Regions from separate parts of the Mus musculus genome. Here all the other regions are reported to be linked to region 4. Evidence: microRNA targets listed by miRTarBase, many of them from high-throughput screens and not tested one by one. Region 4 holds a microRNA gene; each other region holds the end of a gene's coding sequence.

Region 1 (5,948 bases), not on the chromosome of region 4:
TTAATAAATCACCAAATGAGCATTTAACAAATGGTCTTTTCTACCTTGTTCTACTTCTCTACCATGTGTGGTCTGGGGATGGAGCTCAGGTTGTCAGACTTGGTGGCCCGTGCCTTTACCAGCTCTCTCTGGTCCCCCGTGTGCCCTATTAAAGGTGAAGTCAAACCATGTCCTTATAAGCAACGTAACTTGGGTATAGTTTTTTCATTCAAGTTAATCACTCTGTCTTGTAGAACTCGTTTCATTTCACTGGTTAGCTATTTGGTGGTAAGCAATTATGTAACATATCTTAAAGTTTTGAGTTCTTTTCTTTCTCTCTTAGACTTTTCCTTTTGGCTAAATGATTTACTCCAGTCATGTTTTGATCGCTTACTATTTTCTGTTCGTCTACTTTAGACTTTTGCTTTATGGTTACTATAGGCTTAAAAAAACCTCAGAGTTTGGTTATAACAAACCAATCTGTATGACAGCAGTATAACTCGAGGAAAGGAAAACTACATTAAACAACAAACCCTACACTTTTGAGATCACTCTTCCTCACTGAACTTTAAATGCTTCATTTCCTATCTTCCTATTTGACTTGTATGCAATGGTTAATCTCAATTGTCAGCTTGGTGAGATCTAGAATTACCTGGGAGATGAACTTCTGGGCGATTGGCTTGATTGGCTTAGTTGAAACAGGAAGACCTATCCACTATGGTGAGAGGGACAGACCATACCTGAGCTGAGATACTAGCCTATACAAAAAAGGACAAAGTGAGCTGAGCCCAGGAATTGGTTGCTTCATACTTTCTGCAGATACAATGTGACAAGCTACTTAAGCTCTTGCTACTTTTAACTGGGAGCCAAAATAAACTATTTTCTAAAGTTGCTTTTTATCAGTGTATTTTTATCACAGCAATAGAAAAAGCAAGACACTCTCATATGCCATTATTTTCTTTTCAGAAACATAACTATGTTATGGAGGCTGGTCTCCAAACTGATAGGCTCAAGCAATCTTTCTGCCTCAGACTCCTTAGTCATTGGGTCTGCCAGGAACAAACTACCCACTTTCCTTGGCTTATAGAATCTTTTTTTTTTTTAATGTAGAATTTTTTTTAAATCTTCTTATTGTTTAATAGTGGTTGGCCTACTGTTTTACAATACTAGAACATTCTGACTTTATCTGTACAGTCACTCTTGCCTGTGAGTTAGTATCTTTCTTTTCTTGTGGTGCTGGGAATCAAACCCAGGTCTTATGCATACTAGGAAGGTGGTCTACTTGACCTAAATTCTTAGCCCCAAAGTCTCTTTTTTCTTTTTCAATCCTGAAGGCTAGCTTTATCTTGGCTGATTTTCCCCCTGTCAGTACTATGTACATCTTAAGTACTTTCTCTTTGCTTATAAGATTTCTGAGAAGTTTGCCATCAGATAAACAGAGACTCTTTATGCTTGTTTCTTTTCTCTTGCAGCTTTGAGAATCTTTATATTTTATACCTTTGAGAGCTTAATTATGACAATGGGGCAAAAGACTGAATTAAAACCTTCCAGTTTTGTACTATGTCATAAAATGTGTTTAATGTAGGCATAGAACACTACATGCAAAGAATGTATGTAAATCTACATATGGTGATGGAATGTATAGTCAAAAAGTTTGGAGACCATTAACCCTAAAAGTCTGTGTCTTGAAAAAACTTTAACCTGGGTGTGGTGACATATGCCTATAATTCCAGTTCTTCAGAGATGGAGGCAGAAAGATCAGGAGTTCAAGGCCAGCCTCAGCTATGTCATGAGTTTGAGCACAGCATGAGCCCAAGAGACTCTGCCTAAAACAAACAAACAAAACATGGCCGAACTTACATACTTTTAAGTAGAGCTCTTTTCTAGGTAAGGTTTTTATACTTCAAACCCAAATGCCCAAACATGAGAAGTCCCTTTTTTCTTTTTAAATATACACATATAAGATATTTTATTTCAAAAAAGCACAAGAACATTATACAAGTTTTTAATTTACATTTTTGCAATAAAAGATATCAATATATGCATCATCTGTATAACTTCATCATGAATGGAATTTGAATCAGTGGTATAAACATGTTGCAGTCACTAAATATAGATCATCATCACAGTGAACCAAAATGCATAGTTGTTATGAAATGACAAATGACCACTAAAAGGTGAACTCACAGCCCATACACTAACAGAATAAATTAATTATACAGATATATGTTTATCTTTACTGTATCATTAAAATCCTTGCCAGCCCCTCACCAATATTAAAAACACAGAGTCAGAGCCATCCCACTAAACCAATTCTTTCATACACTACACTACATAAAGTGACTTGGTTGCTTAAGTAAACTTCTTAGCAGACTTAAATCATTTGTCATGATGAATACTATTAAAGATCCCGTGGGCTGGGGCAGCACTGTGACCTAAGTCTACCTCCAGTGCAGAAACTTCCATCTCAAGAAGCAGAACTGAGTGATGAATTAGGCTCTTTGGCTAGTGCTAGCTAGTCCTCCTAGCAGCTTGAAAGCTTAGCTCCAGGGTTTACAAATTGAATCTAAGAAGGCTAAAAATAAAGTCTTTATCCTTGGCAAATGGGGGCCAGATGACTAAGGCAGAAATGAGCATCTTATGTTGCCTATTCTAGCCCAGATTTCAGAGCTAAACAATCTCTCAAAAAAAAATTATAGAAAAAACAAAGGGCAATGTTCAAATTTCTTAATCATATTGGCAAATGGCACAAGCCAAATACTGAATTTATTGATTTTTGTCTCTTATAATTGCTGTGAACTGTTCATTATAGTTGCATCTAGTTCCTGCTTTCTTCTGAGTAGTATTTATCCAAGTAGGAAATCATGATTGTGAGTCTGGTGCCTGCTCACACCAATTTCTTACTGCAAAACCCACTTTTCATTCCATAAAAATGGCAACAAATTTAGCCCCAAATGTGCATCACTGATCACTTATCAAATGTATTTTTACTTCCTGGTCTTCACTAAACAGAAGGCAGGAAAACACTTAGACACACACATGGCAGCAGTAGCCAAGGGCAAAGGAAGAGACAATCTCCAAACACATCTTTCAACTGCAATATTACCCAATACCACAAAAGCTAAAATAAGTATCAACTGATCTACTCACAAGGTCTTGATATAAAACGGTAAAGCCAAGAATCAAGAGGTCTATGCACAGACTCAGGAGAGCTGCATTATTTATACGCAAGATGGCTCAACCACAGCAGGTTATAACAGGACACACACCTGATTACGTTGCTTTTTTGTTATTGTTGTTTATATTAATCATAAACAGTCGTTTATGAAAGGTTTCACCTAGACATCAAATCAAGGACCTGTTTCTTACAAGCCATAGAAGGTTGCAGAACTGGCTTAAATACAGTGTTCTAATTTCATCTCTTATGACCATTCACTGGGGCAATTTTCTGATTCCCATTCTACAAAGAGTTTGCTTCAAAACAAGAGTTTTCTGAGAGACAATAGGATGGGGCCCCAAGAGACGAGATCTTACTGCAGAAATCTGCCTTAAGAAATGTAACTGATGGAGAACTTGTGACTCCACAGAGCTCCCTGGAATCAGGTGAGGATAACAGGCTTTTGTATAAGGAATGCGTAATGAGCACATTCTCCTGAATCTACTTGAGGTCTATACTGGAAGGATGCTTTCCAGACTAGCACAGCTAGCACTCTCCATAGAGAGATTTAGATCTGTTTCTGACTGAAGCCGTAGGTGGTACAATAAGGATATTTCCTTAAAGAAGAAAGATGTTTACATGTTTTGAAATTTTTAATTGAAAGAAACTGCATAGTTGTGCAATTCCTCTTTAGACCATCACAGGTGATCAGCATCTTTTCAGATCTAACCCAAGCTAAACTACACTCGAGAAACACCAAATACAAAGGTGCAGAGATGTTAGCCAGATGGAGAAATGTCCACAAATGCTTAATGTGACCTCATTAACCAGGTGGGTGATATGAAATGAACTAGGACAGTTATGAAGGGAAAGGAGTTTTCTGGAAATATTAGCAGAAATAGACACTTGGATGAACAAGCATTTCTTTAGTGTTCTAGAACATAAAACATTAATCTATGTCTTGTTTTTCCCTTGAAGCTTATGTTTGATAATTGAAAGCAATATTCCATTAAGGAATATTTTATTAATGTGTGTGAATCTGGACATGGATCAAAAGACCCTCCAATACTTCCCCGTCCTCAGAAAGTTCTCTAGAATTTTAGATCAGTCTTTATTATTGATGTCACTCATGATTGTCTTGAGGCAGAACTGGAGCTCAGAGTAACTGCCAGTTGAATCCAAATAGCATCTGATTAGTCTCCTGGCTCCGAGCAATCTCTTCTATAATGCAGTGCTGTTGCCAGACCAAATGCAGCTTCCGATACCGCTCCCGAGATAAATGAAGTGGGTTTCCTCTCCTTCAGGAAAAAAAAAAAAAAAACAAAGCTGACATCTAAGCTTTAACAGTGCCATCTCTAGTCTTAAATCAGTACACACTACCAAGACATCCCTGCAGCTATGAGCGCAAGCATCAGGACGAGGCCCAGAAACAGGGCAACTCTTCACTGATTACTAAGAACTTGGCACACCACTTAGTTAAGGAAGCAGAAATAGACTATTTGGGAAATCAGGTCTCATACATAATGAACATAATGAGACCTCATTTAAACAGGTTCTAACTTGAAGCAGCTCTGGTCTTTTCTGGTGGATAGCTGAATGAGGTTCTAATGGCTTTCTGTCCTCACAATTTACCCAGCTTCAGTTTATGATTTTGTGTAGGAGGTTAGGTTTGAGGCATAACACTAAGACCTTAAATCATTCTTCTCCTCAGAAATACTTTGTTTTATAACCTTCCCTATGATTCATCTTGCACATGCTTGGTGAACACTTTCTTGGTTTTTGTTTGTGTTTTTTTCTCAGTCTTGTTACAGTGTCCAGGCTGGGTGTGAACAGTGATACTCCAGTGACCTTCCTGCTTCATCCTCCCAGGTAGCAAGAACTCCGTATAGATGTGCATCATCATACCTGGCTTAGCAAATGTTTAAGTAAGTACATTTCTATTCCAGGGTTACCTAGTTTGCAACACTGTGCCAGCTAACACAAAAAGTCTGAAGTCTGTTGAGTACAGTCATAGCGATACCTGGCATCTCAGTCCCTGGAACATCAGATGTCTCAGCAACTTGTCAACTTTCACACTGTTTATCATTAACTTAAAAGTTCCACATTTTTGTACTTTTCTAGAACAACTCAAGATTATCCTCAGTTATTAACTATTTTGTTGTTGCTATTGGTTTTGTTTTTGAGATAAACTCTCACCATGTGGCCCTGGCTGGCCACTATTCAGATCTGATGAATCTTAAATTCAGAGACTCACCTGCACTTGCCTCTTGTGTACTGGAATTAAAAGTGACCTCCACCCTGACCAGCATTAACTACTTTGACCACTCAGTACCTTCCTCTTAAACTTAAAGGCAAGTCAAATGCTGTCTCGATAAAAACAAATCCCTATATAATCCATTAGAGCCCAAGCCCTATCTAGTGAGTCTATTCTTCTGGATGATATTTTAAAAGAATAATAAAGTTTGGGAGAGAACTCTGTCAGTCAAGTGCCTGCCATGCAAACCTGAGGGGCCTGAGTTCAAGGCCCCAAACCTACATAAAAAGTTGATAACATGTGGTACTGACCAGCTACTCAGCCTCCTAGCATCAGGGAACCTGTCTCACTGTCTCACCAGGCCCAGGTGCTAGAAAGTGGGCTCAGTGGTTAAGATACTAACGACTGTCAGAGGACCAAGGTTCAGTTCCCAGCATCCAAATGGCAGCTCACAAACATCAGTAACTCTATTTCTAGAGTTTACGTTTAAAGAACTATTAATATACACATACAATAAAGCAAATAAAATATAAGACAACTGATTAAACCTTCCACTAA
Region 2 (5,948 bases), not on the chromosome of region 4:
GACCTTCAGCCATATTCCCTTGTAGACAACGTTGGCTTTAACAGGCTGCTCGAATACTTGAAACCTCAGTACTCTTTACCCTCCCCTTCCTACTTCTCTAGAACAGCTATCCCAGGTATGTATGACAATGTGAAACAGATAATTATGTCACATCTGAAGGAAGCTGAGAGTGGTGTGGTTCACTTCACCTCTGGAATATGGATGAGTAGCCAGACTCGTGAATACCTGACCCTTACAGCTCACTGGGTCACCTTCGCATCCGCTGTCCGACCACATTGTGAGGACCACCATTGCTCAGCACTTTTAGATGTCTCACAAATCGACTGTGACTATAGTGGAAATAGCATTCAGAAGCAGCTGGAGTGTTGGTGGGAAGCCTGGGTGACTTCCATTGGCCTTCAGATTGGCATCACTGTCACTGACAATCCAAGCATAGGGAAGATGCTGAGTGAGGGTGAACACTCAAGTGTGCAGTGCTTCAGTCACACAGTGAATCTGATTGTGAGCGAGGCTATCAAGAGCCAGAGGATGGTGCAGAACTTACTGAGTATTGCCCGGAAGCTGTGTGAGCGGGTCCATCGGTCACCCAGAGCAAGAGAGAAGTTAGCAGAACTGCAGAAAGAGTACGAGCTGCCACAGCACCAGCTGATCCAGGATGTACCGTCTAAGTGGAGCACATCGTTCCACATGCTCGAACGTCTGATTGAGCAGAAGAGGGCAGTTAATGAGGTATCCATTGAGTGTAACTTCAGAGAATTGATCAGCTGTGACCAGTGGGAGGTCATGCAGTCTGTGTGCCATGTGCTGAGACCATTTGATGCTGCAAGCCGAGAGATGAGTGCCCACATGTCTACGCTGAGCCAGGTCATCCCCATGATCCACATCCTCAGCAGAAAAGTGGAGATGCTGTTTGGGGAGACCATGGGCATTGACACCATGCTTAAGTCCCTGAAGGAAGCCATGGCAAGCCGCCTGTCTGCCACACTCCATGACCCCAGGTACATCTTTGCCACACTGCTGGACCCTCGCTACAAAGCTTCCCTGTTCACAGAGGAGGAGGCAGAGCAGTACAGGCAAGACTTAATCAGGGAGCTAGAAATACTGAATTCTACCTCAGAGGACACTGCCACCTCCAATGGCTGTGACTCAGGGTCCCCACTTAAAGACACTGGCACAGAGGAGAGCCTGTGGTCACTCGCACCGATAAAGAGAGATCAGAGAGAGAAGCTACCTGAAGACATGGTGCTTGCGTATTTGGAGGAAGAGGTGCTGGAACACAGCTGTGACCCACTCACCTACTGGAACCTAAAGCGGTCATCGTGGCCTGGGCTGTCTACCTTAGCAGTTCGATTTCTGGGATGTCCCCCAAGTACAGTCCCCTCAGAAAAGCTGTTCAGCACACCCATGGATGCTGGCAGCTTTGGCCAGCCCAGGCTCATGATGGAGCATTTTGAAAAGCTCATCTTTTTAAAAGTGAATCTTCCTTTAATATGCTTTCAGTATTGAACTCAGAGATGGAGCCACCAGACTGGAAACGTGCTTCAGAGTGCTAGCTATTGTACCAGGGCTGACTTGCCTGGCAGGGCCATGTAGGACACCAGACCAGGCATCTGGGGCTACCTGCCAGTTCTCACCATAATATCCACATGTGCCTTACTCCTCCTTCAGGCCAGGTGTCAAGGTGCGTTTTCAGAAGCCCACTAGAAACAGTCTTGGCAATTATGAAATAGGATGATCAGGTTTAAAACTATAAAGGTTTTTTGTTTTGTTTTGAGGGGATAGTAATCTGTTTTACTAGAATGAAAGGAAGATGTAAACAATTTTATTATGTAGGGTTTTTATTCAGTTGTGTAAAAACCACAAATCAGGTGCTGTATTTTAATTAAATATTTTAATTGCAACAAAACAGCTTTTGTGGCTGTTAAATGAAACCTGTAAATAGGAGGTGGAGGTTAAGCCATCCTGACTGAACAGTTCTTAACCACAGGCTCCAAAAGTATGTCCTAGAGAGAATATTCTGGAAGCTGTTTACAGAACCAGGCATTTGAAAACAAAACTGAACTTGGGCATATCATGGAGTGTCAATCACATGGCTAATTGGTCATGAGAATGGTCCCATGTCAGGTGTTGCATTCAGGTTTTACACGGTCAGTTAACTCAGAGATATCCCACTTATCATGAGCCCCTTGAAATTGGATCCAGGTTTTAAAGTCATGCTTAGGACTTCACCAGAGCATGATATGACACGTTTACAACAGATGGCCTGCTGATCCAATCTCCATGCCTCTGGTTTACTTTTTGCATCTCTATACAATAAAGCTATCTCATAAGAAGTATGCACTGACCCCTCAGTTTGACCAGATAGCGCTCAGATTCTACTTTGAGGAGGTAGCTTGTCGACAGGGAAAGCGCTTGTTTATTGCAGTCATGAGAAAAGCCTTAGGCATTTAGATTTTTTTTTTTCCTATGATAGGGAAGCCTCAACCATCACTGGGACATTATAGAGTCCCAAGGATACCAACATGAAGTATCAGCTATCAGACTCTTTACCAGACTCCAAAGTTTTTGCTTATGTCTAAAAGAAAAAGTTTTTCATTTTCTCATTTCAAATCAGTTAAATATTCTGGGTGAAACAAATCACTCATTGCCTCTGACCTTTTAGAAAACAAATGTTGTGTTGAAATACTGTGTGGGCTCGGTCTGAGTTTGCCTGGACTGTGCTTTAGTGTATTTATAAATGACGAACCTGGATTCTGAAATTAAACTTTTTATTTGCGATTTTCTATTGCTGACTGATGATGGCTTTTTATTTTTAGGATAAAATGCTTTTTTTTTGTTTTGTTTTGTTTTTCGAGACAGGGTTTCTCTGTGCAGCTCTGGCTGTCCTGGAACTCACTCTGTAGTCCAGGCTGGCTTCGAACTCAGAAATCCACCTGCCTCTGCCTCCCAAGTGCTGGGATCAAAGGCGTGCGCCACCACCGCCTGGCTCAGGAATGCTTTTTATGTGTTAATACATACAAACTGCATTCAAACAGTGTTTGAAATGTCCATACATCCTTCAGTCTCAGAATTGACTGGGGTCATGCAAAAAAAAAAAAAAAAAAAAAAAAGAAGAAGAAGAAGAAGAAATGTGAATATAGTCACAGGTAGGACCCTGGGGAGTAGAGGCAGTATTCCTAACAGTTCCATTTTTGATGATGGTAGTGGTGGTTAGAACTTCCTAGCACCTCTGCATACCCTGTCAGCATATCCTTTCTTACCTGATGCCTGTGCATATTTACCCCTGGGCACCAGCCTATTTCTGGAGAGCCCTGGAGCATTTGACCTGGACTTGAGTTTCACAGTCCACACAGTGCTCTATCCCCGGCCAGCACTCCTGACATGGGAAGGGTTAGTTGTAGATAGGAGCAAAGAAATGATAGTTGAGCAGATGTTGCTGAGCCCTATCCACAGCACTTGCTATCTGTTTCTTTCCTTTGCTTTCAGTTTTTCTTTTTGAGGCAGGATCTCATGTAGCCCAGACTGGCTGCCAATTCACTGTGTAGTCAAGGATGAGAATGAACTTAAACTTGTTCCCCTGCCTCCCAGGTGCTGAGATGACAGGGTATGTTACCGTGCTTGCTTCTATGCATTGCTGAAAATAGAGCCAACAGTTTGCTACATGCTAGGCAACTTAACTACTTACATCCCCAGGCCCCCACCTGCCATTCTGTCCCTGTAAATTTTCAGCATCACACTACCATATTCTAGTTTAAATGCTCAAGTCACAGGATATAAAAAGATTTAAAAAAAAAAAGTGCTTGTTTGTCTCAGCAGAAATATTACAACTGACATTGGAAGCACCATTACTCTGTGCCACAGATTACCACAGTCGGGTACGGGGGTCCCTGGAATGAGGGTTCTCAAAGCTAGGTAGGTAAAGTTTTGGCAGTAACAAACAGAAACACAGAGGCAGTTTGAGTGTATTTTGCAGCTCTCAAGCAGGGGGAAAGATACATTAAAAGAACAAATATTACAACTCTTAGAAGATGTGTTCAGTGAAGCAACCACAAATACCATCATTATCACTTGGCACAGTAAAGCACAAAAAACAAACAAACATTACAACTCAGAAAAGATGCACTAAGTGAATCACAAACAGAACAGGTGACATGATTATCAGAAATCATCCAAGTGTAACAACTCTGAAAGGATGTATTCAGTGGGGCAGCCATCCAAGGCTAGGGGCAGATTTCCAAGAGCAGGATAATAAATCCTTATGGTCAATTATTATTTACCATCTAATACCTGATTTTTTTTAATCTTCAATGCATAAATTTAAACTATATTCTTTTTAAGGATTTCTTTACCATATACCAAAGCCCAACACTGATGACACACATGTAGCCATATGAAATTTTATTGTTGGGAAAGTTTTTAATCTGTCATAATACTATTGTATAATTTTATAAATGATTTATAAAGTAAAGCATTGGTTTCCTCAAAGATAAGGTCATGTTAGTGTCCCCATCTCAAGGGATGGTTTCTTACCCATTATTCTCACTTAAGATCTTGGCCTAGGCTACAAGCAACATGTAAGTAAGAACAGGAATAGGAGAAAACAAAACATGGATTGCCGTGAGAACTACGGCCCAATATTTTGCTCTGGCCAAGAGTTCCAGGAGACCTCCTCCTTTTGAAGTCTACCGCCTCAGTCTGTGGAACTTGTCACACAGATTCTACTGGGGTTGGTGTGGCAACTCTTAATATTCTATTGACAGGTGATGAATGTATTTTTGATACCAGGCACCCTCATCACTAAGGACACAGCTGAGCTATATCTCTGTCTAAAGTTGCTGGTAGCCCTGCAAGAGAACAGGCCTAGTTCTTATGGCATAGACTTACACAGACAGGTATTTGGGTGGTAGGTTATAGGTATATTGAGAATAAATGTGTTCATTCTCCATCATCCTACCTTTTTTTTTTTTTAAAGATTTATTTATTTATTTAAAGTACACTGTAGCTGTCCTCAGACACTCCAGAAGAGGGAGTCAGATCTCGTTATGGATGGTTGTGAGCCACCATGTGGTTGCTGGGATTTGAACTCCTGACCTTCGGAAGAGCAGTCGGGTGCTCTTACCCACTGAGCCATCTCACCAGCCCCTCCATCATCCTACCTTGACTTACCTTCTGAGTTGTTTGTTTTCCTGCCTCCAGATGACATTTTGGGCAGGTTGTTCCTGAATTCCTCCTGTCTACCTGGAATGGGCATCCTAGTTAGGGTTACTATTACTGTGATAAACACCATGACCAAATTAGGGGGGAAAGGGTTTATTTGACTTACTGTAGTCTGTCATTGAAGGAAGTCTGATCAGAAACACAAGCAATGCAGAAATCTGGAGGCAGGAATTAATGCAGAGGCCAGGAAGTGGTGCTGCTTACTGACTTGTTTCTCTGGACTTGCTCAGTCTGCTTTCTTATAGAACCCAGGACCACCAGCCCAGGGATGGCACCACTCACAATGGGCTGGGCTCTCCCTGATCAATCACTAAGAAAAGGCCTTGCAGCCTGATCTTTTTTGGACAGGGCTTCTCTGTGTAGACCTGGCTGTCCTGGATTCACTCAGAGATCTGCTTGCTTCTGCCTCCCCCATGCTGGAAATTCAAGCTACATGCCGCCACCACCACCACTGGCTTTTACAGCCTGATCTTACAGAAACATTTTCTCCACTGAGTTTTCCTCCTTTCAGATTATTCTAGCTTGTGTCAAGTTGACATAAAACTAGCCAGCACAGTAAGTACATATGACATCTTCCATAAAGATGGTTCTACAGGTTAAATACATGAGCCATCATCTATACAGAAAGGTTCTAAGATTAGTAAGCTGTCTGTTCCCAGCCTTCTGTGTGGATAACAGGTATGTGTCCCTTTGAAAGAACAACCCTGTGTTCCTTTCTGGTTTGCCCAGGA
Region 3 (5,948 bases), not on the chromosome of region 4:
TGTTTGTGGTATCCGGCTGGTGGCTATATCAATATTTGGTCTGTGATAAATCATCCTATTTTAAAACAAGTTATGTCTTTTAAAGTACGTATTATGTGACTGCTAAAACATGAGCACAGTAATATGAAAAATAGAGCAACAGTAAAGCTAGTCTAAAATTTCAAGACATCTATAACATTAGCGCCTTTTGGCTGCCCATGGCTTAAAACAAGGGCAACCCAAACTTGATGTGGGATAGTTGGAACTTGCCGTCACAGTAGGATGTTTACCATCCTCTCTCCCATCTCAGCCACAAGGTTAGTGCTTTGCCAACCAAGGTACCACATGCGTTATCCATGGCTTTCCCATTGATGCTTGGGGCTCTTTATATTTGAGGAAATTTTTTGGCTAAGTTGAAAGGAAATACTTGTCTGGAATTCTGAGCTTTTAACGCTTTGTTTAGTTTATCATTTTCTCACAAGGCTGTATCTACCCAGTGGGTTCTGGGAACTCGCTCTTTCAGCAGTGGAATTTTAAGTGCATACCAGCCCGCCTGGCTTCTTTAAGAGGGGTCCAGGACTGTGCTCAGGTTCTCATGCTTACAAGGTACTTTACCCACTGAGCCATCGTCCACGTCGGAGGCCCACAAGCACACCAAAATTCTGACTTCTGTAATTCAGTTGGTATGTAGTTAGTGATCATCTCCTTGTGTTTAATTCATATGCTTCCATGTTTAGATGGTCACCATGTAGAAGTTAACTTAGACAGGTGTGAATTACAGTAAGCCTCGACTCACTGTTCTAAAGGGGATCGGCTGATGTGCGTTTCTTGGGGTTTTTTTCTTCCCTTTATTCTAAGAGTGCTCCATCTTACCCATCTCCAACCCAGAGATGTTGGGGGAAGTACCCATTGTGAGGCTTTAGTTCCCGCTTCTGTTACTTAGTGTGAAAGCTCTCCTTCTACCTCACATTCTTAGCATTGTACCTCTTCCTGCTTACTAGACAGTTGTGAATTTATCTACTCAAAGTATCTGCTGTAAGCCATCAAATCTGTGTGTGAAGATGGAAGATCTTGGGATGTTAACTTTTAAATTTTAAATTCAATTATAGGCTACACCCCAGCTTTGGCCTGTGCTCCCAATAAGGATGTGGCTGACTGCCTGGCTCTCATTTTGGCCACCATGATGCCTGTCTCGTCAAGTAGCCCATTGACATCCCTGACATTCAATGCCATTAACCGTTATACCAACACCTCAAAAACAGTTAGCTTTGAAGCCTTGCCTATCATGAGGAATGAAGCCAGCTCCTACTGCAGTTTTAACAACATTGGTGGCGAGCAGGAGTACTTGTACACCGACGTGGATGAGCTCAACGACTCTGACTCCGAGACCTACTGAAAGGCCGAGTGAGCTGCAGCTCTAAGGAAGTTCTGACACTGAAACTTCAAATCGGGCTTTTTCGGGAAAAAGGCACTTTCTTATCATACACAGATTCAACCTGAAGAAAGATCATGCAGTGAACGAATGGAAGAAACATGATGACATTAGGAAGAAGAGTCTTAAAGGCAAGTTTTGCAAAAGGAACTTCTAGAATCTTAATAATGACTTGACCAGTGGAAAACACAGTGATGTCGATTGCTTTGTGGGATCGTTTAATTGGCTTTGCAGTGCCAGAAATTGGGACACTGCTCCCTGACCTGCTTACATGGGCAACACTGCTGTAAAGAAAGAGATCAAAACACTAGATTAAATTTTACCCATAAAATTACAGCTAAATTTTAATGCAATAAAAGTTTGGTATAATAGGCATTATGTACACATCAAATTGCCAAGGACCAAATAACATACAGATTTTTTTATTAGAACTCCATTTTGTGGAAACGGAAATAGATGAAATGAGAAGTCGTCTAAAGCAAACTTCAGTGCTTCTGAAAGTGAGGCCAGATTCGGTTTGGTGTTGGTTTTTATAAGAAAGCATCTACTGTATTAAGCCATGAGAGGAAGCAGATGTATTTTTACATTTTTTAATATAAAAGTTTTTAAATTCCACTTTTTATAGACTTCAGAACCAGTTAACTGGGTGCAGCGTGGTTGAAAGTACTAGAGACAGACGCAGATGAAGTCAGGGCTGTTGCCCACGATTGAGTGGTTTGCTTTTAAATTGAATTGTTTTTGTTTAAGGAATTCCATAGAGGAAATTTTTAATGAATTTAAAAAACAGACTATTTCACCTCTTGTAATGCAGCGGTCCTGGAGAAGGGACATCTGAGCCTCTCTGTGCGCGGCACACCTGCATCACGTTAGTTACTTTGGGACCTCTACCTTTTTTGGCTGGAGGAATTCTATTGTCATTTATTTTAATCTTTGAACTTTAAAAACAAGAATCAAAATTTTAAAAAGTTTGAAGACTCTTGTTATGAAACATTGTCGAAAGCTGGTTGTGAATTCTATACAAACTGGGATTGTAAATGTTTTATGTAAAAGAAAATACTTAAAAATGTACCTGCTTCCTCTCCTGCGTCCTCACAGCACTGGAAGGTTCTTGAATGCATCCTTTCCTTTGTTGTTGTTGTTGTTGTTGTAGTCGTTTGTTGTTTTAAGACAGGGCTCTCTATGTGTAGCCCTGGCTGTACTAGAGTTTGCTTTGTAGACCAGGCTGGCCTCGATCTCACAGAGATTCACCTGTCTCAGCTTCCTAAGTGCTGGGATTAAAGGTGTGCACCACCACTGCCTGGCTTCAGATGTTTTCTTTATAAAAATCAACATCAAACCATTTGGCTTCCTTCTCAGAAGCATTGGAGTTTGCTTTAGATGATGACTCATAACATAAACAGAATCAGGTCATTTGGAAGGCATTTCTGTACTGGGCAAGATTTAAAATACTTCAGGCTTTAGGTCCTCCTGAGATCTAGAGTAGCGGGTGTGCAGCTTCTTACTGTCAGAGCTTGCCTGCCAAATTGAAGACTGCCTTTCAGGTAACAGAGAAGAGGCTGACAGTAGGCTAATTTTAAATTACACTTTTCTGTGGTTCTTTTATTGTAACTGTCACTTTCCCAGTAACAATGATTTTACATTGGGGGGAGGGGTCTTACTAGAGCTGGGTAAAGTTCCATACATTGCAACAAAATGATACCCAATTCCATCTTACCCTTTTTGTATTGTGAAACTGGAACTTTATGACATTGTAAATTATCAGCTGGTTTTTCTGAATATAAAGTGTGAAAACACAGAACAGTATTTTGATCTATTTGATAATTTTGTGGGTTTTTTGAAGAATTAATGAGCATGTACATAGAAATAGTGACTGCTTGAATCCTGTATTTACTTGCACTCTTTCAGTACATCAAGATTCCTGTATATTTTAGAGTATAATAAAACACAGACGTGAGCTGTATTTAATGAATAATGTATTTGTATCTGTGCATATTACTTAAAAATCTATAAAGTTTCTAGGGCATTGACTACTAGATTTTAAGCATTTTTCTAAAATATTTGCAAAATTATAAATATAATCTCCATCTTTTCTTTATAATATAAAGGAGTCGTAATGAACCCTTCGTAATTAATAGTGGGAGAAGGGTAAATATGCATTTTAAAAGACCGTAGACTACATTTCTATTGTACCTTTTAAAAAAGAAAACTCAAGAGGATTCTAAAAGTATACCATATGTGTGCTTTCTCTTTCCTTTTAGGAATTCTCTTCTGAATTCCCTGAGGGAATTTTCTAGAATCTCAGAATTGAAAGAGACCTGAGGTCCATCCAGTCTAACCTCTTAAATGCAGGAGTCCCTTCTCCAAGGTTGTCTTTCCACCTTGAACACTTCCAGTGACTACCTCACGAGCAGTCCATTCATTGTTGAGCAGCTCTGTTAGGAAGGTCTCCTTAATGGAGCTGAAGCCTCCCTCCTGGTAACTTCTGTCCTTGGGCCCAGCTCTGTCCTCCAAGGGAATGCTGGAAGGATGACTTTCCACCCTCTGCCATGTCTTCTCTTTCACAGGCTGAAGTGATTTCCAGATGGACTCATTAGACACATTGTCTGCACATCTATTGAAGTCAAATGTGTAGCTATAAAGTAACAAACTCATCTTTTAATTTATCCTCATATGTATGTAGAGACCAAGATCCTGCATCACTTTAAGTAAAACACTCGGGAGGTGGTTTGTGCTGTTACCAGCCGACTAGAAAAGCTGTTCCTTTGTGGTAGTTTGTCTCTAGCTTGAGCAACCCACTTCCTTTGGTGTGCACTGGAAGAGGGAAATTTTGAAGTACTATCCCAGAAAGTGTTGACTAACACCAGTATTTGGAATAAATACAGGAGCACAGCATAGCGCCATACGTTACTTTATAGTTACATACACCTATAGTGTGCACAAAGCATTGGTCCTGGTGGGTCGGTTGTGTATTTATCCTCGCCCACAAGGGGAAAGTCTGTCGGCCTTTAATTTCTGTGAGAAAGGTGACATCTAAGATATGTGTTACAGAAATACCAGCTTTTGCTCAGAAACAACTTTGGGGGAGATAACGATGACAGGTGACCTCAAACAGTGCCATTTAGTTCAGAGATCTCTAAATGTAGCTGTAAATTTGGGGTTAATTTGGCTTCAAATATTGGATCTTTTAAATGAAATAAAAATTTTTAATGTAAAAAATCAAGTGTCTTTCTTTTTTACATATAAAGAACTTTTTTCTTTAAAATGTGTTAAGTTACAGCAGGTTTTTAGACAAGTTTTTTGCAGGTTGTTAGTGTGTTTCCTACAGCCTAGAATGAATTCCTGAGTGTTCCTACTCCACGTCTAGGTGCTGCATCACCTACAGGTATGTGCCTCCATCCCCAGCTCTGATTTTTGTCCTTTAAGAACTCAGTGGCTTCTTAGTAGTTATTTTAGACTTTTGTACTTACCAAAATGAATCTTTCACATGTATTAACTCAACAAGTATATGTTTCTTACCTGCTATGTACTTGAGTATCAGTGGGCAGAATGGTGGTGGTGTCCTTTAACGGCTGACGGTTTCATCATGTAAGCAAAAAGTGATAAATAGGACTGAGATAAGCCACCACCGAGGAAGGCAGGAACAGGACACCTAAGCGAGCAGGAAGGCAGCGGGCTTCATGGTGGAGGCAGCGCAGAACCTGGACACTGGGGACAAGTCTGACTGAAGCAGGTGAAGAAGGCCTACGAGATTTCCTAGGTGCAAGAGCTTGGAAGTGCTTGGAAGAGGGCAGATGGGGGCACGGTGCTCTTCAACACGAGGTGTTCCTATGTGAAATGAGAGCGTAACAAGCTATACAGAGCTTTGATAACAGGCATTAAAAACAGATAAATATTAGTAGCTGCTTGGGACCACAGATAAAGGAGTTTTAATAATCTTTGAAATCATCTCTGCAGGTAACAGTAATAGAAAAGGCCAGTACACTGTTGATCATGTACCAGGCAAAGACGTAAATGCTTGAAATATGTTATCTCTTAATCCCCATGACTATCCAATGAGGTAGGTACTATTAATAACATTTAACACGTGGAGGAAGACAAAATAACTTTTGACCACAGTCTTGATTTTTAAAACCTGACTTCAGCTGCAGGCAGTCCTCCTCCTGTAGTGCTCTCTAATGCGTGTGCTGATTCTCTGGTTTTTGTCTTGACTTCAAAATTGTTAAATTCCCTTCAGTTTTATTCTCATAGCTCAATATCTTTAGAATAAACAGGAATGTGGTCACAGCCAGTACTGGACACCTGCTGCTTGCAATGGAGCTGAGGTTCTGGGTATAGAGAAGTAAGGGGGAGGGAGTTGTCACTCACCCTTGTGACAGAGTGGAGCCAGAGAGCCTGCCATCTGCTCACCTCAGTCACTGTTGCCATCATAAGCACCATGCATCTCACTTGCCTAAAATAACCCTCATGCCTTTGTAGGTTGGCTGACACGGGCTTGTTGGAGGGGCTGCTTCAAGCGGGAGCCTTCAGAGGGCTTTGC
Region 4 (5,948 bases):
ATATCTAAATAGAGACAATTTGGCTCCTCCTTTTCTTATTAGTATACTGCCACTGTCTCCAACCCGCAGAGACAAGAACGACACAGACACCAAGACGGGTTCGTGCAGCTCCACAGCTTCCTTCTTACTTGCAGCTTTTTGCAGCTTTCTCTTTACTTAAGGCAGGGGCTATATTTATACAGTAGTGGCAACTGACCTCATCTCGCTCCACACCACCTCATCCAATTGGAATCACACACGCTCTAGGCACGAGCTCAGGTCGGCCACAGATAGGCTGACAGATCCGGATCACGAGGAATAATCTAACTTGGCAGGCAGCTTACGCATGCAGTTTCACTGCGCATGTTCCAGCAAGGTAGTAAACATGTGGGTTTCATGGGATCTGGCAATGGGCCAGGGCGCCATCTTGGCCCATGCAGCCGCACCCGCTTCCCACAGCATACCTGTAATTTTCTTTTCTTTTCTTTTCTTTTTTTTTTTTTTTTTTTTTGTCTATTGATCCATCTAAGTGCTTATAGCTCAGTATTGCAAGGGAGTGGTTGAGTAGTGGGCAGCTCTGTTTTGCTCTTAATTTTAATGGGATTACTCAATGTTTCTTTATTTAGAATAATATTGGTTGTAGGTTTGCCATATATAGCTTTTATTATCTATATATGTTTTTCCTCCAGTCCTGGCCTCTAGGACTTTTATCGTGAAAACATGTTGTAGTGTGTCAAAGATTTTTTTTTTTTCCTGCATCTATTGAGATGGTCATGTGAGTTTTTTTTTTTTTTTTGATCTTTAAGTCCATTTATGTGATTTATTACACTTACTGACTTAATGGATGTTGAACCAACTCTGAATTTCCAGGATAAAGCCACCTTGATCATGGTGGATAATCTTCGTGATAAGTTTATATCCAGTTTCCTGATACTCATTGAGGGTAAAACTCTCTGTTTCTCAGGGATAACAGTCTGTATTTTTTGTTTGTTTGTTTGTTGTATCTTCATCTGATTTGAGTATTAGAATAATACTGGCTTCAAAGACAAAGTTTTGGAGTTTTCCTTCTGTTTCTGTTTTTTGTTTTGTTTTGTTTTTTGGTTTTTTTTGCAGAATTTAGGAAACGTTGGTTATAGCTCTCTCTTGAAAGTCTGATAGATGTCTGCTTTGAATCCACCTGGACTGGGCCTTTTAGACTTAGAAGTTTATTACAGTTTCAATTAACTCCTTTCTTGTGGGTCTCTTTTGGTTATTGGTGTCATCTTGGTTTAATTTTAATATTTTGGATGAATCAAAATATTCATCTATTTTTTTCATATTTTGCAACTTAATGAAGTAGAGTTTTAAAAAGTATTCCCTTTTAATATTCTGTATTTCTTTGATATCTGATGTAATGTTCCCTGCTCATTTCTGATTCTGTTAACTTGGGTTATTGCTTTCTTTCTTCTGGTTAAGTGGGCCAAGAGTCTGTAGATCTTGCTTATCATTGCAAAGAACCAGCTATTAGAGTAACTGATCTGTTATATTTTCTTTGTTTCTATATCATTGACGTCTGCTTTGATTTCATTTTTTCTGTGACCCACTTATTTAATTCCAATTTCTTAGACTATCACACATGACTGCTGCGTTTACATTTCTACCCAGCCTTCTCCTACCAACTCCTCCTGTCCCTCTACTCCCTCTCAAATTCACAACCTCTGCTTCTTTAATTATTGTTCCATATATATATATATATATATGTATAAATACATATACACATATACATATATCTACACACAAACACATACATCTTGCTGAATCCATTTTATGTGTATTTGTTTAGGGACGACCACTTGAGACTAGATAACGTGCCAGTGAGCTCATCCTAGCAAAGGCTCATCCTTCCTCTCTCAACAGCCGTCAATCAATTGCCTTTAGTCTTCTTCTAGGGTGGAGCCTTGTGATATTTCTCCATTCATGTTGCAGTGTCAATTGATGTTGCCATTGTGCAAGTCTTGTTTATGCAGACATATTGTTGAGATTTCATGGGTACAGCTTCCCTGCCATGTAAGAAGACACAGTCACCCAACAGAGCTTCCAAGTCCTCGGGCTCTTGCAGTCTTTCTGCCCCCTTCTTATACTGTGTTCAGTGAGCTACTTTAGTGTAGGGGTTGTATTGGAGATGTATCAACTAGCTTTGGTACTTCATGGCCAGTTTTTTTCTGAATTTTAACCAGTTGTGGATTTCTGTAATGGTCTTAGTGATGAGCCTAGAAGAGAACTTACTGCTTCCACTTTCCTATAGTTTAATTTCTAACTGCATTCTATAGGAAAGTGGAAGCAGTAAGTTCTCTTCTAGGTTCCGTGACCTCACCAGCTGTGGATAGCTGGCTAGGTTGCAGTACAAAACATAGATTCCTTCCTATTATGCAGGTCGTAAGTCTAGTTATACAGCTTTGTTTACTAGGGAGTAGATGCCGCTGTTACACACTTGGGGATGTCTTGCCTTGCTTGGTATTGTGTGGTTTGTAGGCTTTATAGCTAGGTGGGGCTGTTGCATCCTCCCTTGGCGATTACATAGCACCTTCGGGTACTGTGAGAGCAGGTCCTCAGGGAGGGGGCTTTTAGGTCAGTTGCAGCTTGATTCCTCCAAGACCTGTATCTAAAGTATAGTGTCTTCAGCAACAGGATCATCCTTTGAAGTTCTAAGGAGCAACCAAAGACAGAAGCCCATATTATTTAGGTCCTCTCTCAACTCAACTCCTATCAACAACTAGAAGGAAGGTGTTCCAAGCCTGACAAACGGAGTTTTTGTTAGATAGTTATGGCTTTTGGAGAGAGCATCACACCCAGTGGTATAATTTCATTAGGACTTCATATATACACACATATATTTATGTACATATAAAAGTATATTGGCTCTTAAGCAAACATAAGATAATGTTTCCTACAGCTTTTAGACGTCTCAGTGTCCTCTCCCTCTTCCTGTTGGCTCTTTCTCAGTATTGCCCTCCATCCCCTCTTCCCTTTTCCCATTTCCCTCTTCGTAGCACCTGTGTCTCACAGTTCCCTACTAGAGCTCCTTCCTTATATTCCACTCTCCGTCTAGGTTAGCACCACTTGCTTCCTTAGAGATTGAAGATGTGTCGGTGTTTATTTAATCCTCAAGTTATGTACAGGAAGAGAAACTTACTCATTTGACCTAGGGTTTTCTGTAGGACTCTCTCACCAAATAGTTATTGTACTAGGTAACTATTTGTTATACAAGACCACATATTTGCATGCCAGATACTGTACTAGGCCTAGGAAATGGCAAGTGTCCAAGTGTACAGACATGCTTTCCAAAAACTTTCTATGATGTAGATTATCTCAATTCAATATCATTTTAGAATTTGCAAGTTTAAAAAGTAAGAAGTATAAAGTTAATATATTTTATTGATCTCTGTGGACAAATTAATGTGCTTAATCTATAGATGAAAATCAATATATAGTCAAAATTGCTATCATGCTGACCCTGCCAATCCAGACTTATAAATTCTAATACCAAAGTGGCTGACTGAAACATTATTTTAAAAAGTCTGTTTCATCTTAGTTTGCCTTTAAATGTATGCTTGTCTTGCTATTGTACAGTTTTGTGGATGGGACAGATAATGAACAAGAATATATTTCATGTTTTTATAATTCATGCACTGCAATGATTATGAAGTCTGTTTTATTAAAGTACATTGTTTTTAGTGTTTTCCCTAACACATTATTTTTTTTTCCCTCTTATTAGAGATCTTTCAAAACCAGAAAGGTACAACGGAGACAATGTAATCTACAAACCACCCGGGGTGAGTTTCTGTTTTACAGACTGCTTAAGACACCATAGTTAATACAATTATAATATAAGCAATAGCTTTGTTTTAAATGCTGGAAGAATCATTGATGAATTCTTAACTTTTTAAGTACTAGGGATTGAACCAAAGGCTTGTGTATGCCAGGCAAGTGCTCCGACACTTCTACATTCTGGCCCCTTACTGTGTTTGAGTCAGCGTCTCACTAAGGTGCCAGGCTTGCCTTGAACTTGAGATCCTTCTGCCTCAGCCTCCAGAGAGGTGGGGATGAAAGGCTTGTCCTGCCATGACTGAATGATGTGACTTTGAAACCATCATGGTCTAGTAATCCGTATTTCAGAGTGACGCAGTGTTCACAGAATCCCGAAGGTACAGGCCTGCAGTGACAGTGCAGGCCCCTGACTTCTCTCCCTGTCTCTGTTGCATTCAGTCTGAGAGCCAAATGTTTGTCACCACTTGTATTGTGCCTGTAACTCCAAACCTGCTGGGGCATAAATTAGCTTCTTGACAGTAAAAGCACCTAGATTGTTTTAAACTTGGCTAAATTGTTTTTTTTTTTTTAAATCAATTCTCTAGGAGAATTTCATACAAGTGTGTCATATTCACTCCCCTCCCCCAACTCTTCCCAGATCTACCCCTCCATCAAGACCAACTTGCAGTACTTAAATAAATAACACTCTTAGGTATGTAGCTTTCTAGTAGAGTGAGATTGACTTACCAGGGCCTACCCCCTAGCGGAACGCTGGCTATCCTTCCTCTCCCTGTAGCTGTGTGTTGCTAATCACTCAACTGATAGGAGAGGAATTGTGTGCCCAGCTCTCTTCTCCATGTTGGATTTGGTCTGCTGTGGGCTTATACAGTGTTGCATGCGTATGCGGTCACTGCTGCTGTGAGTTCGTGAGTGCAGCAGCCCTGCTGTCACCACAGACACTGTTCCCATTTTGTCATTAACAGCCTTTCTGCCCCCTCTTCTGCAATGATCCCTGAACCTTGAGAGGAGTGTGGGATATATGCTTTTTTTCAGGCTTAGCATTCCCTAAGAAATAGTTTCTTATATTCTGCACCTTTGCCAGTTGTGGCTCTCTATTCCAATCACCATCTACTGCAAGTAGAAATCTCTCTGCTGAGAGCTGAGATACATGAATCTGTGGGTGTAAATTGATGCTGTTGAGAGTCGGTTTAATACTCTGTCCATTGAACAGAATAGCATTGCTAGGTTCTCCTTTTGACTAAATTATTTGTAAGCGTGTTTAAACATGAAATAGTTGGGTAGGCCTGAATAATGGTAGGAACAACTAAGGCAAAATTTGCACTATGTTTTCTTAAATTGACATAAAGATAATCACCATGAATGTTTCACATCCCAAAGATAGAATGAATTTTTTTTTCTAGGTCATAGTTAGGTTTGAGGTTTGTTGTTATTGTATTTTGTATTTATTTTTTTATATTTTGAGACGGGGTCTCTATTATGTGCCTCTGGCTGTCCTGGAACTCACTATGTAGACTGGGCTGGCCTCAGACTCACATAGTTCCACCTGCTTTGGCCTCCCAAGTTCTGGGATTCAAGGCATATATCATCATGCCAGGCCAAGATTTTATCTATATAATTTTAATGTGCCTATAATGTTTTGATACTAGATTTTTTTTATGTAGAGAAATAATTTACCATTACTTTTAAAGGTCATTTTCTAGTCCTAATTCAGATACTATTTTAATCCATTTTTCTATTGCTGCACCATATCTGGAGTAGAGTGCTTAAGAAAAGAGGCTTCTTTTGCTCACAGTTCTGACGCTCAGAATCTAAGACTGGCTTGTTCCTTCTGTTACTCAGAAGGCTCCCCAAACTGTGTCACAACATAATGAAGGAGTAGGAAGGAGAAAGCCATGTGCAGAATGTGTTGTGTATGGCAGGAAACCGGAGACCAGGGGAGACCAGTTTTGTTCTTTTAATAACAAATTAATGCTACAAAGCTTAAATGGAGTCCTGCAAACCTGCATTAATCCCCTCTGGGGGAGGCACCTCAGTGACTTACTCTCTCCTCTCACCACTTTGTTAAAAGTTCTATCACTTCTTGAATCCACGTGCGACCAAGCTTTCAGCTCATGAACTTTTAGAAGACACACACAAGCTGTATTTAGACCCAGACAGATAGG
Region 5 (5,948 bases), not on the chromosome of region 4:
AGTGCATTTATCTTCGCAGTCTAAATTGCACTCTAAAAATATTATCCCAGCTGAGTTAAACCAGACTGGCCACTCTCTTCGTAAATCACTGATTTCTGCTAAAATGTTAGCTTTTTTATTGCATCATGAAGGCACAGTAAGATCATTTGGCAAATTGTCAAGATATTTTTCTAGAGCCTCCCTACACCATTTCACTCCTGTAAGCGTCCTGCTGTTTCTACTCACAGTGACCTCTCCATCTCTGGCTATGGTTTTAAAAATAGCTTATTGGTTGACATCTGCTGGTCAAGGTGCTGATAAACTAGTACTAACAATGCCAACGTGGACAAAGAAGCGAATCGTAGGAAAAAAGGGTATCCTTCCGCCCTCTTAGCTGGGCAGTCTCTTCAGATGAGTATCTGTGCATGTGACAAAGCTGTGGCCAACTCACTTTGAAGGCATACAGTTTTGCCAAACCTACTCCTAAAAAGTAGAATTATATCATGGCTAGCAAAGTGTTACCATAACTACTTAACTTCATGCGACTGACTTAAGCTTAGGATTCTGAAATCTATTAAGCAGACTCTGGCACCAATTCCAACAACAGATACTCTGAGCTACACCTTTAAAGAAAAACATCTTTAAACAGAATCACTGCTTAAATGTATAATGCCCTTTAGGACAAAAACAAGTGCTCAGCTACAATACACACGAAAGGAACCATCTTAAATCACCTTCATGTTCGAGCGCTCCTGACTCTTCATACTTTAAATAAATAACTATTCATTACCTCATTCTGAGGAGGTAGGGTTTTTTTTTTTTTTTAAGAAGTCACCTGAACCCTGAACTGTTTCCAACTAAAGCTAGATGCTGAGGTCTGCAAGAGGCAGGAGGTGGGTGTGCAGTGGGGACAGGTGAGATCTGCAGAGGGACGAACAGCAGCTCTGACAGTGTCTGACAAGCACAAGACAACATCGTGTGATCAAAGGGGCGGGGCTGCACCAAGACAGGAAGTATTTACAAGGTTTCTGGTTGACAGAGCTGAAGTCTTAAATCATGTCTTTACAGAATGCTTTCTCCCCTACCAGCATACATCTAGCATACAGTTTATATCAGATTGTCTTTTAGGATGCCTCATTATGCCCTCCTAACCTCAAATACAGAAATGGGCTGTTCAGGAACCAAATCCAACAAGTCACAGAGAATCTTTGTTGAAGATGCATATAAGTACGAACTGGATATTCTATTTGCAAATTCCTTCTATAAACTACATTTTGAGGTTAATAATATCTTAGTGGTAGAGTTTGGGTCCTGTAGCTTAACAATGAGAAAGTTCATGAGGAATACTACTTATTTAAAAACAGTCCTATATAGTTGCACTCAAACCTTTCAAAGACTTCACTCCAAACAAAACAAAGCAGATCTCACGAGGCACTGCAGCCACTTCATGGGCCGACAGCTGCAGCCCTCTGGGATGAGTGAAGCAGCCACACTGTCTATACAGTTACTCATAAAGCGCTCTGCACAAACACGGACTTCCTTGTATTTTCCGAGGAGCTCAACAAGATTATCTGCAGTCTTAAAAAAAAAAAAAAAAAAAAAAGAAGGAAAGAAAACCCCACAAAAGAAACCTTTTTTTATGTTGTTTGCAAATGATAAAAAAAATCTATTTGATAGAAAATAAGAAGGAAGGTTTAAATATTTATTTCTATCTTTTATATTCTCTATTTAAAAAGAAAATCTCACAATACCCTGAGCCTGGTTTCTGGGCACAGCTTCGTTTAATATCAACTCTACTTTCTCATTTCAAGTGAGACATCACCCTATACTAAAATGAGAAAGAAGTCTGTCCCTTTGCACTCTGTCTAGACCACTTCCATGCTGCGTACACGCCCCACCCTCCAGCACTGAGGGGCTCCTCCACCAAGGCCAGCCTTCAAAGCTCCCATTCTTCAGCAGGCCCGAAATGTGCAACTGTGGCCGAAGCCTACCTAGCTCTTTCTAGCTAATCCTGGGTAAAGGGAACAAAGCCACATTAAGAAGTATTTAAAAGGGTAATGACGCCTTTCAATGTGGCACATCATATGGAGAGGCTATTTTTCATATCAAGCACAATTATCTTCTCAGCTCTGAAACATTTGAAGACTTTGCTCTGTTTATGTAAGACTTAAAAACACATTGTTGCTAACTGGTTAATAACTTCAGAATATTTTTCAATTTACTGGGAATATATAAAACTTCCAGTAGGCCTTCCTTTGATGATACTTTAGTTATTTTTTATTATCAACTAATTAATTTTGTTTTTTTTGAGAGAGGGTTTTTGTGTGTGTAGCCCTGGCTATCCTGGAACTAGCGCTGCAGACTAGGCAGGCCTTGTATTCACAGAGATTTACCTCATTCTGATTGCTGAGTTGCTTGGATTAAAGGTGCACACTACCACCACCACCACCACAGTCTGGCAATGAGTTTAGCAAAATCCATCTAACTTGCTGTGAGTAGGCTTAAATACATAGTGGTATCAATTATAATTTGAACTTTAAAAATAACTCAAAATTCCATTTTATTTTAGATTCGCTAGTATTTTGGAAGTTCTTGGCTTGAAGTTGCTAAGTACATCTCCTTAAATTTGCACGTATAAATCCTGGAGATTCAAGATTCCTGGCTCTGAGAGGTACTGGTCATCAATCCATCCAGTTGTTTTCTTTACTACTATGGTGATTTTTATTTATATTACCTGTAAGTAAAGGCTAAGGAGAACTGTGACGAGGTGATACTTTTGATCTGTGCAAAGATAAGATTTAGGGTTCTAGAAGAACAGCTGGGGACAGGCTTCCTGCTCTCCTGCAACTCCAATGTCCCTAATAGTTGCATTGCCAGCTAGGGAGCTCAGGGACCGATTACCCAACCTTTTGAAGACCAGGCTTGGGGAAAACAGGAAGAGGGAGAATGAATGGAGACGCCACCACGTTTATTTTAGGTTGCATATTATAGATAAAAGACTAGAAAGAGGATGTAGGATGTAGTGTAGGAGTTAAGTTGGAAGAAACAATGGGATTGTTAGCAAAGATGTTAGTGTGGATCCAGCAAGTACCATTTATTTAAAAAGTATAAATAATTGTCATTATGCTAAGATTCCCCATAATTTTTAGGTAGAGAAAAGGATAATAATTATTCTTTAAAAGTTGTTTACAATTAACAAAAATATAATTTTCAGGGTATATAGTCTTGTGGGAAGTACTCATTTATTCCAATTAAAACTGAAAATTATTTTCTTCTTTTAAATAAAAATAGAAGAAACTCAGAAATTAAAACCTGTACCTTACATTTAAATTACACAAGTGTCTCACATTCAAAACTGTCAGTAAGCAGTTTTGTAGGCTTTTAATTAGGTGTTGTCCACGGTGTTTTATGTCCTGGACAAAGGAGCCACGTAAGTATTTGGTGACTGGAAGAGCTGAGAGGAAGATATGGACTGTATTTTCCTGAGAATTTGCTACATTGAGGAGGAAACAATCCCCCAACCCTCTCCTCAATTGCTGGACCCAATGAGAAAAGAAGGCAATGTGTGCCAGCACTGAGCAGCCTGAGTGGTTAGGCGGAGCCCAGTGAGCAAGGCAACCCGAGGTGAGAGAGCTGGAGGTGAGGAAGAAGATGCAGCACCCCCTTTTCTCTGCCCCGAGGCAGGCTCTCCTCAACTCTCCCCCACCACTTAACTGTAAAAAGCTTCGCTGTGACAGCAGCTGCTGAGGACTGAACAGGCGCTACACAAGGGAATGCTGCATTTACTCCATCCCTCAGAAATGAACGGTGCTGGACAGGGAAAGTGCTCCACAACATAATCCCAGAATAGGCAAGAACGATGCTTGGTGATGGAAATCGCCCCATCAGATGACCAGCCACAGGCTGATCTGGTGGTTAGAAGGGCAAAGTCGACTGGCAGACTTTCCATAGCAATTTTCCCAAGCTGCAGCAGCAAATTCTTTCCATCATGCCTGACCACCAAAAGGGCAGAATTCAGGGTCTCTCCTCTTTCTTCTTGGGAATGGGCAGACTTGTATGCACGTGATAGTTATGTTGAAGAAGAAACACGGGCAGCAGAGAATTCTGGTTCCTAAAACATTCTTCCCTCTTTTGTTGAATAGGAAATTCCATTCTGTTCCACATGAACTTATGCATTGAAAATTTTGTATCTTTAAAAAATTTTTTGAGGAACAGAACTGTGTTTTGATGTTAACAAACTGTATGAACACAAGACTTAAGAAATAAAGAGTAGATGCTGCCATGATGGACTGGCTACTTGAAGGCTGCAAATTCTCCTGTAGAGGGAGGACAAGAGCTGATTTTAAAACGTCATCTTGAAAGAACTTCAAGACAGAAAAGCCTTATTTGGGTCTCACTGAAAGGTGATCAGCTAAATATATTACAAACCTTGTAACATAAGTCACTAGTTTAAACCTTGAGTCATTGGAATCCACAAAAAACAATTCAGCCACATCAAGAAAATAACAAGCTACGGAGAATGTCCCAGCTGGGTACCACGCTGCGGGGCAGCCTCAAACTCACAGCCTTGGCAGGCCTCACACAGCCACCTTTCTACTTTCCTTTTGCTTTTTTTTTTAAAAGATTTACGTACTTTTTGTATATGAGTACACTGTGCTATTTTCAGACACACCAGAAAACGGCATCAGGTCCCATTACAGATGGTTGTGAGCCACCTTGTGATTGCTGGGAATTGAAATCAGGACCTCTGGAAGACAATCAGTGCTTTTAACCTCCAGCCCCTGAGCCATCTCTCTAGCCTCATTTTTTTTTTTTTTTTTTTAAAGACGGGGTTTCTCTGTGTGGTCTTGGGTGTCCTGGAACTAGCTCTGTAGTCCAGGCTGGTCTCAATTTACAGAGATCTGCCTGCCTCTGTCTCCAAGTGCCGGGATAAAAGGCATGCCCCATCCACCACCTGAGTCATATTGGTAGCCCCAGCTACTTGACTTTGTAAGTTCTGTCATTGACTTTTTTATTTTAAAGAATATCTTGCTATATAGATGACCTCGAACCCATGACCTTCTGCCTTAGACTCCTGAATATTATTACATCTGATATTTTTCTCTTACTAGGAATAACCTCTCCAGTGTTTAATTTCTGTCAGATTTGGACTGGTTGCTAGGGAATGTTGGTATGTCTCATATGGAGCAGACTGTTAATGACTGGTGGACTGAATCCTAAGATTTATATGCTGAGAAGATCAGCACGATGGTCTTGACCTTGCCACCCTCTTGTCTCCCTGCCATCTTTCTTAGCACTCTAATCACATTTTAATCATTAAAGTTTGCTTTCCTAGCCTGAACACAACTAACTGGGCTACAGACAGTCATATTATCTCTTTCCGTCAAGGATTATTTTTAATGATTATCTAACAAAGGCATTGTTGAGCCAAAAGACCAAAGAAGGAAGCCAGGTATAGTGGTTCCTGCTTATAATCCCAGCACTTGGCAGGTACTGGTAGGGAAATCCCAAGTTCCAGGCCAGCCTGGGATGTACAGGGAATCTGTTTTTCAGATGGGCAAGTTGCTAAGTGGTCTGGAAACTTGCTCCAAATCACACAACTTAAAAAATAAATAAATAAAAAGGCCCAGAACAAAACAGTAGGGTATAATCCTTTATGAGAAGAAACTAGAACTCTTAGCAAAACAATATAAAACCAAAACAGCACCACTAAGAAAAATATACAGAAAGGGAGAGTGATTTAACTCTAGTGCTTCCAAGTTCTCTGTGTCTGTTACCTACAAATTTTATCTGCCACATTTTAACATTCTTCCTTTTGGGCTAATTTCCCAGTGAGCCAAATGGGGAGGGGGAAATCAATTCCTATGCATTCTGTGGGGTACTGCTTGAGTGCTTATGGGACAGCACATGAGTTTCTGAGCAGCTTGAGAGAGCTTAAAAATGCCAATGCTGACAAGCTAATAAAGAAA

The links. Region 4 holds the annotated microRNA mmu-miR-1958 (UAGGAAAGUGGAAGCAGUAAGU, at 2,286-2,307, shown strand). A microRNA usually pairs through its seed, bases 2 to 8, with sites in the 3' UTR of a target mRNA and lowers its output. Matches are read on the target gene's strand: a 7mer-m8 pairs with bases 2 to 8, a 7mer-A1 pairs with bases 2 to 7 and ends in A, and an 8mer does both.
Region 1: the mRNA of Ubr1 is a reported target of mmu-miR-1958. Seed matches in the 3' UTR shown: 7mer-A1 at 2,835-2,841.
Region 2: the mRNA of Zbed4 is a reported target of mmu-miR-1958. Seed matches in the 3' UTR shown: 7mer-A1 at 2,461-2,467.
Region 3: the mRNA of Ankrd28 is a reported target of mmu-miR-1958. Seed matches in the 3' UTR shown: 7mer-m8 at 2,531-2,537.
Region 5: the mRNA of Braf is a reported target of mmu-miR-1958. Seed matches in the 3' UTR shown: 7mer-A1 at 4,119-4,125, 7mer-m8 at 1,585-1,591 and 7mer-A1 at 342-348.

Annotation. Positions count from the first base shown.
Region 1 is chr2:120,858,358-120,864,305 of GRCm38, forward strand. Ubr1 (ubiquitin protein ligase E3 component n-recognin 1) reads right to left here. Exons shown (of 47, transcript NM_009461.2): 47 at 1,915-4,434. The coding sequence ends at 4,293. It overlaps AV039307 (expressed sequence AV039307), which reads left to right. Exons shown (of 4, transcript NR_038350.1): 2 at 3,831-3,967; 3 at 4,937-5,061. Among named protein-coding and RNA genes, the nearest start is that of AV039307, 11 kb to the left of the region's middle.
Region 2 is chr15:88,781,732-88,787,679 of GRCm38, forward strand. Zbed4 (zinc finger, BED type containing 4) reads left to right here. Exons shown (of 3, transcript NM_181412.3): 3 at 1-2,785. The coding sequence ends at 1,506. Among named protein-coding and RNA genes, the nearest start is that of Zbed4, 33 kb to the left of the region's middle.
Region 3 is chr14:31,697,447-31,703,394 of GRCm38, reverse strand. It overlaps Ankrd28 (ankyrin repeat domain 28), which reads left to right. Exons shown (of 28, transcript NM_001024604.2): 28 at 1,089-3,380. The coding sequence ends at 1,375. Among named protein-coding and RNA genes, the nearest start is that of Btd, 59 kb to the right of the region's middle.
Region 4 is chr4:48,209,493-48,215,440 of GRCm38, reverse strand. It overlaps Mir1958 (microRNA 1958), which reads left to right and starts at 2,226; the gene lies at 2,226-2,322. It overlaps Erp44 (endoplasmic reticulum protein 44), which reads left to right. Exons shown (of 12, transcript NM_029572.3): 7 at 3,734-3,791.
Region 5 is chr6:39,606,110-39,612,057 of GRCm38, forward strand. It overlaps Braf (Braf transforming gene), which reads right to left. Exons shown (of 22, transcript NM_139294.5): 22 at 1-4,295. The coding sequence ends at 4,273. Among named protein-coding and RNA genes, the nearest start is that of Gm34389, 7.5 kb to the right of the region's middle.